3 linked regions of the Drosophila melanogaster genome follow. The protein of the gene in region 3 interacts with the protein of the main gene of each other region in a pairwise test. Each region holds a gene or a part of one and is shown on either strand. Other genes may lie near its edges.

Evidence for each region. The genes of interacting proteins can lie anywhere in the genome.
Region 1: the proteins of CG7786 (region 3) and CG15185 interact in a two-hybrid assay, tested with the Drosophila melanogaster proteins (one large-scale study listed by BioGRID).
Region 2: the proteins of CG7786 (region 3) and pck interact in a two-hybrid assay, tested with the Drosophila melanogaster proteins (one large-scale study listed by BioGRID).

Annotation. Positions count from the first base shown.
Region 1 is NT_033777.3:6,525,596-6,529,196, reverse strand, and holds CG15185 (uncharacterized protein), read right to left. Parts: upstream 1,690-3,601; 5' UTR 1,669-1,689; coding exon 640-1,668; 3' UTR 523-639; downstream 1-522.
Region 2 is NC_004354.4:1,468,664-1,472,847, reverse strand, and holds pck (pickel), read right to left. Parts: upstream 2,183-4,184; 5' UTR 2,053-2,182; intron 2,001-2,052; exon of another isoform or gene 1,981-2,000; 5' UTR 1,864-1,980; coding exon 1,785-1,863; intron 1,709-1,784; coding exon 1,500-1,708; coding exon of another isoform or gene 1,441-1,499; coding exon 1,245-1,440; intron 1,191-1,244; coding exon 904-1,190; 3' UTR 523-903; downstream 1-522. Other genes in the region: CG14780 (uncharacterized protein), read right to left, coding at 32-282; CG14778 (uncharacterized protein), read right to left, coding at 2,288-2,446, 2,509-2,691, 2,751-2,833, 2,895-3,030; CG32808 (uncharacterized protein), read left to right, coding at 3,202-3,687, 3,750-4,118.
Region 3 is NT_033778.4:16,233,801-16,236,439, forward strand, and holds CG7786 (uncharacterized protein), read right to left. Parts: upstream 1,137-2,639; coding exon 558-1,136; downstream 1-557. Other genes in the region: CG15701 (uncharacterized protein), read left to right, coding at 1-186.

The DNA.
Region 1 (3,601 bases), on a different chromosome or scaffold from region 3:
CATTACATACAATAAAATAATACAATTGAATAACTTAAAGAAGTCTTTTCATTGGAGTTTAAGAAAAAAAAAGTCCAACACTTATGGTAAGTACAAATTTAAAAAAAAATTATTCATTTATTTATTTATTTAATCATAAGCAAGATTTATTATACATCTGGTACATACAGCAATGTGCAAAATAGTTAAAATTTTTATATGCAAACCACATTTTAAAGCATTCATTTAGTTATCTGAAAATCTAAGCTTAAAATGCCTTTTTTTTTAAGCCACAGAATTATTTATCATTACTAGTTTTTTTCCCATACATCTTAAAAATAAAACATTTCAAAATTCACTGACGGGACAGTTTTTGATTTTCTCTTCTTATCTTTAAAACCTTATATGATTAATAAAAAATAATCACATAGTGTTCATTATAGGAACCCATTTCTGATAACAACATGTTAAAACAAAGCCTGTATATTTTAATTTTAAAAAATTGACAGACACCTTAAAAGTTACAAGGACAACCGTTATTTTATCACTTATATTCAGTTTTCTGGTTATTCTTGTGTTACCTTCCCAAATGCTCAAACTAGCCACACATGATGATATGATGAAAATATGAAATTGATTCGATGCGATGCCGGGGAACTATTAGTTTGGAATTTGGTTCACCACGGAAAGAACGGGGCAGGTCTTTTTGATAATGATACGACGGAGGTGGTCGTTGATGGCAAATCCGCGAATGACGTTATTGAGCATTATGCCTAACACCTCGCCTGTGCTGTCATCGGTCATGGTCTGAGGAACGAAGTGGTTCACGGCATATGCCATTACAACGGCCGACTTCCTGTCCATGACAATGGCGGCCACCAGGCGACCGATGCTCTGCGGTCTGCTCTGGGGAGTTTCCCCATCGGTCATGAATTCCTTGGCCAAGGCGAGACCCTTGGCAACAAAAGCAATCGTGTCGTCGTGCACATAAGCGGGGGCCTCTAAATAGGCGGCCGCCGAATGCAGCAGGATGCAGGACACCTCCTCCATTTCGGCCCAGAAGACGTTTCGTGAGGTTTTGAAGTGACGAGGACAATGGTCGGCATGCAAGCTGGGGATCGATGGCGGCGAGTATGCCTGGAAGACGAAGTCATGGCTGTGATAACAGATTACGCCTGTCACATCGGTCACTTCTCCAGGTGAATGGCTAATAGTATCAGACGCGATCGTCTTGTAGGTTACATTGTTTGCATTCAAGTTATCTCCCTGCTCTGCAAAGAATCCCGAATCTGGAAACGTGAAATTTGGACCGTGAATGTAGACCATAAGTTTTTCTGGTTGAAAGAGCTCGGTATTCTGGATTAGGGCCGAAACGTCTACATCGTAAGTGACATTTTTTTTCCTCGAATCGTGGTCTACGACCTCGTTTAAATTCTCTTCTGGAGTCATTTCATTCTCGCTATCCGAGATTTCGTAAATTATAGGAGTGTCCATTACTTCCTCTAAAGCTCCGTAGTCTTTGACGTCGGCTAGAATCTCTTCTGGGGTCACGTCCTCTTCGCTTTGCCAGACGTCATCATAGATTGGGGCAGGATCCTCCCCGAAATTAATTTCATTGTCGTAAATAAGTAACAATTCATCTTCAGCATGCGCAATAAAGACTTGGTCACAAACAATGTGGGTATCCATTGTATAAGCTATTTATAGTATTAATTATCTTATTGTCAAAAAAAAACTTTCTTCCGAAACGTGCTATAGCCAGGGATGGAGATACCCACTTATCGATAAAACTATTTTTCTGGGTGAATGGCGATATTGGGGATTAGTTATATAATTTAATTTGTAAAGTTAGAAAAAACAAATATTGCGTTTTTCATACACTGTTAAATATGTGATTCCTTGGAAATTTAACAGCGATTGTTATCATTTTTACAAGCCTGCTACACGAAGTTATAAACACGGCCATATTGTTTACGAAAGAACTAGTTTCTTAAGAGTTTTCTCCACATCTCAATTTTATAAGATGACAACACTGCTTAATCGATTTTAAAAGCAGAGGTGATGAATAGCAAATTGACCAAATATGAGATTTAACAATCATCAATTTAACGCAATAGTGCAACAATCATCTGAGTGGTAGAAATATTTTAAGCTTGGTGTTTGAAAAACGAATAATGAAATGTTAAAACATTAGTGTCGGAATGTGAATGGAACCAGTTTTGGGTGTATTTACAACGGAAATATAAAATTAAGCCATCCGAGCCAACGGGGTGGACAATGGAGTCAACAGTCGGGTCAAGGTCGACTCGTTGTCTAATTCCAGGCGAGGCAACAAGGACAAACGTGACTGAAAGGATTGAGGGTTTGATCCGGCCATTTTCCATTAGGACAGCCGACGTCCTGCAATTGTTGTCGACCGCATTGTGTCTGGCAAATAAATTAAAACGGGGAACATCGAGAGATTTACAATAATAGTAGCCCAGAACATTAATAAAACGGATAAAGTTCGTAATCTGTTGGCATGCATGTATGTATATTAGGAAACGTAATAGAAACAAAATATATGTAGTTCGTTCTTCTGGAACTATAGCATTCATTTTCATTTATTGATTATTTTCCAGTGAAATTTAATTTACTGTAAGTTACTTGAACGTTACTTGAGAGATTCAGAGATCCTTGAACATATTTTAATTACATATGCGGGACTCGAACTTGTCCTAAAAATCCTAATGGAGTTATGTGGCGTTTCTTCGCGCCATTCTCGTACTTGGAGGGGTTTAAGTTATACGAGTGTAACAAACATCCTGCGGTCAAGTCGCCATAGGAATGTCAAAAGAAGAACTCTATACTTTGCAGACTGCCGATTCTTGTGCGAGGCGGAGAGTAGTGGTTGTGTAGAGTTCACAAAAAAAATTAACAAGTGAAGGGGGATATGATTAAAAAAAGTTTGTAAAGCCCAATCATTGCATCAAATTTTTATTAACGAAACTATTTGCTTTAAGATTATTTTTTGCCATTTAACACAGTCTTGGCTTATATTAGTTTACCATTTTGAGAGAGTTCTTCGTATCTAAATCTGATAATTTGAATAAGCTTCTCCAAACTTGCTTTGACCTGCGGCCCTAAAAGAATCCTCATAACGAATGCCTGGCAAGGATTTGTCTCAACTTTCGAACGCAGCTTTCGAATGCAAATTTAATGCAGCAGCCAACGCTGCGAAGCCGCATAATTCTCGAAAGGGGGACTAATGAGGGCTTATTCAACGGGGGGCGTGGCAGGCAAAGGAAGTGCCTGCAGGCTGACCAGGCTCATCTGTAGCTTTTGCTTTTGCTTGGCTCGTAACAGGGTCAAACTGTAAGTAGGAAATGCAAAGGGCATTCACATTTTGATTTCATTATTGCCATTTTCTGGGCTGCATATTCAGACTGACTTCCGAGTGCAACGTCACCGCCTTAAGGATGGGTTTCACCTGCTTTTCCTCTAATAAGTGAGAGTCTGAATGCGACGAAGTGGGGTGGTGTGTGCGTGTGTGGGTGTACCCATTGTATATGCTCTTCTCACAAGGTGAGCCATTGAAAGGAGCCAGGATCAAGGAGCACAGGATGGTGGCTAATGCCAAAGA
Region 2 (4,184 bases), on a different chromosome or scaffold from region 3:
GCGGGCACCCCATGGTGGGATCACTACTTACTTGTACAGGCAGTGCGCTGCGGTCAGAACCTTTCTGGGCGCGATTAGCGCCCCGCCGCAGATGTGGCCGCTTCCAAAGTTGTTGTCGTGGCGGAGAAGGCGGATGGAGACCAGGTGGCGCGTCTCGTCCGCCTTGGCCACGCTTCCATTGATGATGCGCGACTGCTGATTCTCCTGAAGGTCCGCCGCCGCGCAGGCGAGAAGGAACCAGAACAGAATGTAGCTGCAGCCGTGCAGGCCAAACTGAGTCATCGCAGATCAGATGAGAAGAAACAGAGCGCACGAAACTCACTGAATCGAGGGGTCGAGTCTGGGAGCCAGCAGCCCAAACTAACAATTGGCAATCAGCGGAGGCGCTATCAGTTCGATAAGGCAAACATAAACATATTAGGTGTAGATCACATCCGCACCTCATCACCAGGAACATGTAGCTGGGGGTCATGATGGGGAAACCAGGGCGGAGATGATCAATCTGATCAGTACGTTTAGCTTCGCAAGTTCAAATAATACATTTAATTCAATGTTGATATGTCTCTACACCAGTTTGCTTATAAAAGGTGGAATATGGTCTAAAAATTTAAGCTGTAAACATTTTTGAGCCTATATAAAAAGTATAATGGTAGATGTGTAAAAAGTTAGTGGATCTTTTTGGTCGCACTGATCTTACGTTTAGCTGTACGTGCTATTTAATACAATTACAAACGGATACGAGCTGATCTCGGCTGAGTCGGCGTGTATATAGATACATATGGTCGATTGTTAAAGGCACTATGGACGGCGTCGATTGCGCAGATTCGAGGCACGAGATTGCGTCTGAAAACTTAAGCTAAGATCCAATCGGAACGGAATGTATGGAAGTCGGGCGGACAGCTGTTATATGTAGCCCTGCAGGCTCCGCGACTGGCTGTGGTGGTGGCGCGGCGGCTGGTAACCCGGCTCCTGCATCTCCATTTGCATTACCAGGTTCTTCTGCTCGCCGCGGGCGTCGTAGGCTTGCCGGGCCTCGCGCTGCAGGATCAGAGCGGCTAGACCAAGGAGCATGAAGGTGACAACGGCCAGGGCGTAGGACCAGCCCAGCACGTTGAACTTGGGGTACATCATCCAGTCGCGGCGGTAGGCGCAGCCCCCGAAGATGCATACGGCCAAAAACATGAACAGAGCTGTGGGAGACCGCTGTTTAGCTAGTACTTATTGGGCGGGAGGCAGATACATACACGAGATGGCGGTGCCCATGTAGGAGAGGCGGACGAGCAGCCACTCGTACTGCAGAACGGCCTTAAGAGGCAGTCGGATGATGGTAAGCGAGAGCAGGGCCAGCACAAGGAACACGATGATGAAGGACATGGTCACGAAGCCCTGCACCGCCATGAGCCAGCCGGGCAGCAGATACTCACGGATAACGTAATACTCCTGTACGAGTGGGAGAAGATCAGGACAAGGATAAGAACCGGCCAGTTTGCTGTACTCACGTGCGAGAAGATGTTGTGGCAACCGGTGAACTGCTTCAAGAACGCGTACTTGGGGTACACGAAGTCCTTAAAGCAGTACTGCCACAGGCCCATGTTCTTGAAGCTGGCCCGCGTCTCCTCGTAGGACTCGATCCAGTACGGCGAGCAAAAGGACATCATCAGCACGAAAAAGCTGGCGAATGTAACTATGGCGCCGAAGACCACGCCATCTGGAAAGGGAATTGGGCATTGAAAGTATTTGGATGCAAATGCAGATCGGCCCGCATGCTTGAGTGCGTCACTTACTGGTGGCCCGCGGATAGTCGCCCTTTTCGACGCCCGAGTCCGTGGTGTCCTGCGACTGCTGCTTGTTAAGTTCGCGCATGCTGCTGTCCTGGGTCTCGAGGGATCGCAGTTGGAGCAGAGGAGTTTCTTTTCTGGGGATTGTCAGTAAACAAATACAACGCACACACCCAAAAAATGCAGCAACAACTAGGTGGGGCTAGCGATGGGACAGTGTCGATAAGAAATGTGGTGGGGCTCGGTCGATATACCGCGAATTATTTCAAAATACCTTTTTATTAAATTTATTACTTTAGGCTTGTTGATCTTCGGAAAGAGGGGCTATTTTGCAAAATGCTGTTTAAATATAAAACAAACCCATGCACAATCGATATTTTTTCACCCCTAGGTGAGCCCAGTGTGACCAGTACTTAGTGCAGAATACCGTTCTTGGTTTTTAATTCCATTCATTTCGTTCAATAATTACTATTTTATTTAATGCTGTTTGAGAAATACGATCATGTCCATCAAATGGCCCCGTCCACCTCGTGGTGCTCCAGGTGCTTCATGTAGGCCAAGAAGCAGGTCCAGCACAGGCTGCACGCGCTGATGAATGGCACCCGGTTGCGCTCGGGGATCAGGGTGAAGTTGATGGTGGCCACCAGTGGCCATACGGACAGAGCCACCTGCAAGAGCGATGGAATTGGTGGGTTAGGCGGCAGTTCTCCCTCGAATCCCAAAAGAGTACCTTGTACGTGGGCAGGAATTTCTTGCCGACCTCGGCTACCGCCTGCTCCACCGTCTTGGACTCCAGGAGGCTCATGATAAAGTAGAAGCAGGTCATCGCGCCGGGGGTGTACGAGATCGTCTCCACCGCCGCCTTAATGACGCCCGTCCTCAACGATGTCTGCGGCCACATGGCGCTGGAAATCTGAGGAGCAATCGGAATAGGAGTAGACCTAAACAGCAGCCATGTAAACGGTCACTAACCTTGACCCATCCGTAGAGGGTAGGAGCAACAAACAGACCACCGTACATGCTGAACCGGAGCACGCGCCACCAGTCGTAGGTGCCTGTAAGATGAAGACGAGAAGGATAAGGAGCTGAGAGCTGCTCGAAAGAATGCCGACTCACCCCAGCGCCTGCCCTCAACCGTTTGCTGGATGAGGCTGCCCGTGGGCCAGATCAGGCTGTACGATATCATGCCGCGCATAATCGGGTAGCGGGTGACGAACACCTTGAAGTTTTGCCACAAAAGTGGGCCCGCCATCGCAATCTCGGCCCTGCGGAGTCACAATCGCGCGGTTGGCATCTCATTAGCATGGCTAATACTTCAGGCCCACAACTGCATGGCCAGCTCTACCCACATAAAACCCACAAGCGAATGCGGGCCCCAATATTCCATAAATTGCCCTGCTCTACCTGTGAACCGTGCACATAGATGGCCGTCATGGCTTGGCTAGCAAGGCTCGCACTTTTCTACACGGCAACCTTCCTTCTGGCAGGAGCCTCTGGCGAGGATGGAAAAATCGTCAACGGCACTACAGCTGGCCCGGGGGAGTTTCCCTTTGTGGTCTCGCTGCGACGCGCGAAGAGCGGACGTCACTCCTGCGGCGCTACGCTGCTCAACCCGTACTGGGTCCTGACAGCCGCCCACTGCGTGCGAGGCTCCTCGCCAGAGCAGCTCGACCTGCAGTACGGCAGCCAGATGCTGGCGCGAAACTCCAGCCAGGTGGCCCGCGTGGCCGCCATCTTCGTCCATCCAGGGTACGAGCCGGAGGACAAGTACGTCAACGACATCGCATTGTTGCAGTTAGCGCAGTCCGTCGCTTTGAGCAAGTTTGTCCAGCCGGTGCGTCTGCCGGAGCCTCGACAAGTCACGCCCGGAAACGCCAGTGCTGTCCTCGCGGGCTGGGGATTAAATGCGGTAAGAGAGAAGCCATTCCTCCTTCAGACTCCTTGACTATCGACTGAACCTTTCAATTGTAGACGGGCGGCGTGGTCCAGCAGCATCTGCAGAAGGTCAAACTGCAAGTGTTCAGCGATACCGAGTGCAGCGAGCGCCATCAGACCTATCTGCACGACAGCCAGATCTGTGCGGGATTGCCCGAAGGTGGAAAAGGCCAGTGCAGCGGCGACTCCGGAGGCCCGCTGCTTCTTATTGGCTCCGACACCCAGGTGGGCATTGTTTCTTGGAGCATAAAGCCCTGTGCACGGCCACCGTTTCCGGGCGTCTTCACCGAGGTGTCGGCCTACGTGGACTGGATTGTAGAGACGGTAAATAGCTATTCGCCCCCGTCGTCGCTTTGGGTGGGCCAGCTGATTGTGGGACGATCCCCGCCTAGCCTAAGCAGCTAATGGATTTAACAGGCCCCATTAAAATACGGATTAACATACGCTACCGCTATCTAATTCAACAATTGG
Region 3 (2,639 bases):
GCCCTCACCAATGGCACTGTGCGTCACTACGATTTCTATCGCGACAGAGAGTTACCCGTGGAGGAGCTCATGGACACACGCCTCAAGGTGACGGACATTGCCGGTGCTCGAAGTTGTGGACAGGAACAGGTTCTGCTCATCCTGGACTCGACTGGAAAGGTGCAGTCGCGCACTCTGGACTACTAGCTTGTTAAATATTTTCTAATTATTTGTATGCGTTTGTTGAAATCATTTTTTAAAATGAAATAAACTCGAACTAGTCCTACTCACTTTTAATCAATTTTAATGGTTTCTATTGCACAATTTGTGATATATAAATGATATATATATGACTTTATAGAACTATAGTACTAGCACTAGCAAAATACTCTATATAGATGGGCCAATATTTATATATCTGAATAACATATTTTTTTAAGGGACACCTGCATATGCATACATATATTATTAGAATATCCTTAGTATTTATTTTAAACATTTATTAACATCAAACTAAATAATCTCACTAGCTTCCCTCATTGATATGTACACTTTTCCATCTGATCCCGCAGAGTGGTTCACACCTGCCTGGCCATGGACAACATGCCGCCGGCTGTTGTGGCTCCGAGGAGCTGGCGCACCGTTTGCAGTTCATCCCGCAGCGCCAGGACCTGCGCCCGCAGAATGGAGTTCTCCTGCTCCAGCAGCGCTGCTCGGAATGCTATCCTATCCTCGCGGATTTTCCGCGCATCTCTGGACCTCTTGGCCGCCTCGTTGTTTCGCTTGCGCCGCTCAAAGTACTTGGCATCCTTTTGAGCCTCCGGAATGGGTCGCTTTTCACCGCGGACGCGACGGTGCACAAAACCCGGAAACATACCGCCTCCAATTACGCCCACACGATTGAGCTCCATCAGCGGAAATTCCAGTGCCTGGAGAGCGTGACTTGGTGGTGCGATATACTCGAAGGCGGGTAGAGTTTCCGACGATCTCTTGGCACCGATCATGCCGGGAAAGCCCAGACCGGTTAGCCGAAGATTCTGGGGAATGGAAATGGAGTAGGACGGATTGTTCTTGGACTCCAGTTCCGCATCCAGTTCGGAGTGCATCGATACGGTCTCGGTGACATCCAAAATGGGCGACTGGGCGGGCGAGTGCATCCTATATCGGTGACTTCCGTTCGCGCCGACGGCCGGGCTATATCTGAATCCAGCTCCTGGCTAAGAAGCTAGCTACTGGCGAGGCGACCACCTGCCTGCCGTGGTAATTATAGGTTCTTGTCACACAAACTCCCCCACGTACACACACACACACACACATACACCCGCTTTGGGGCTAATTCTAAGCCAGCCACAACCCTCCATCGCCGGCTGATTCAACCAATCACGCAATGTTGACGGTAATTATTCGTCAAATACATGACACTTGGCCGGGGCCGCATGGCATTTATTTGTGCTGCCCGGTTACAAGGACTTCATATAACTGGTTAGCCAGATTACATGCCCCCAGCCCAGTCCAGTCCACCTCTCCCCGCTCGCCGATCACTTCTTGGCCCTTGGAGTTGACCAACTGTTATGTGTTGGGGCGGAGATAGTAAGGCTTACCCATTGTCCATGCGCTGACCAATGAGAGTGACCCTTGGCTATCGACCGGCATTTTGTGGACGAATATAACAGCGATAACAGCGGTAATAGTCTGAAAGAGGCGTGGTGGAAGCCTACTTGCACTCACTGAAAGTTATCCTTTAGGATATCTTACTATATAGCAAAACATGGGGTAATGTAAAATGTAAATCATGAATATGCAATTTTTAGTCATTACATTAAAATGAAGCCATCTTATTTGAACCATTATACAATAGATATACTTTTTTTGATCCTTAAACTGATAGTTCTTGTAGATTCCTATCACTCCAAATCATTTTATCAGATATTCTAGGCATAATATATCTTCAATTGCTCTATGTGAACTTTTTATTTCCGAGGTTTTTTGAGACTTAAAGGATTTTTCCAGCGTGTACCAATCGATTTCAATAGTCCTAAGAGGAATAGCTTCTGCTCCTTTTTAGCTGAGCTCCAAAAACTGCAGCGTCAGAAAGTTGCAATATGCCTAATCCGCTATTATTAAGACATCAAAAAGTTGTTACCAACTTTATTTTGATCAAGCATGATTCTTCAAAATCGTAAAATTTTACTTGCCTTCCGACAATGCCACTCACGACATCCAAGACCACCGTATGCATATCCAACAACCATCGACATGTAAATGAACTCCGTGTGTCGTCTTTAACCCGTTCCGTTTCGTTTCGGTTTGAGAAAGTGTCACCTGTTTGTTTGCCGGGGTGGTAAATTGGCAGTTTGGGTCACGGAGTCCTTGCCGTCTCCGGCAACCGGAAGTCGCATCCTTATGGCGTTTCATAATGTATGCGCTAATTTATTATCTGTTGGCAAAAGTTTGGGCCATACATAGTTAACCCTTTGACTGTCATGCCACCGATGTTTCGTTTATGGTGTTTTGGCCCAACTGAGAGCCGAACCCGGAAATAATGGATTGCGTGCCGGAGTGACATGTCTGGAGAATTGGAGGCAGTCTAATATCCATCAAAGGGTCGAGCGAGATGGATTCGAAATGCACACATATAGAAAGCAGTACGTTTTGGAATC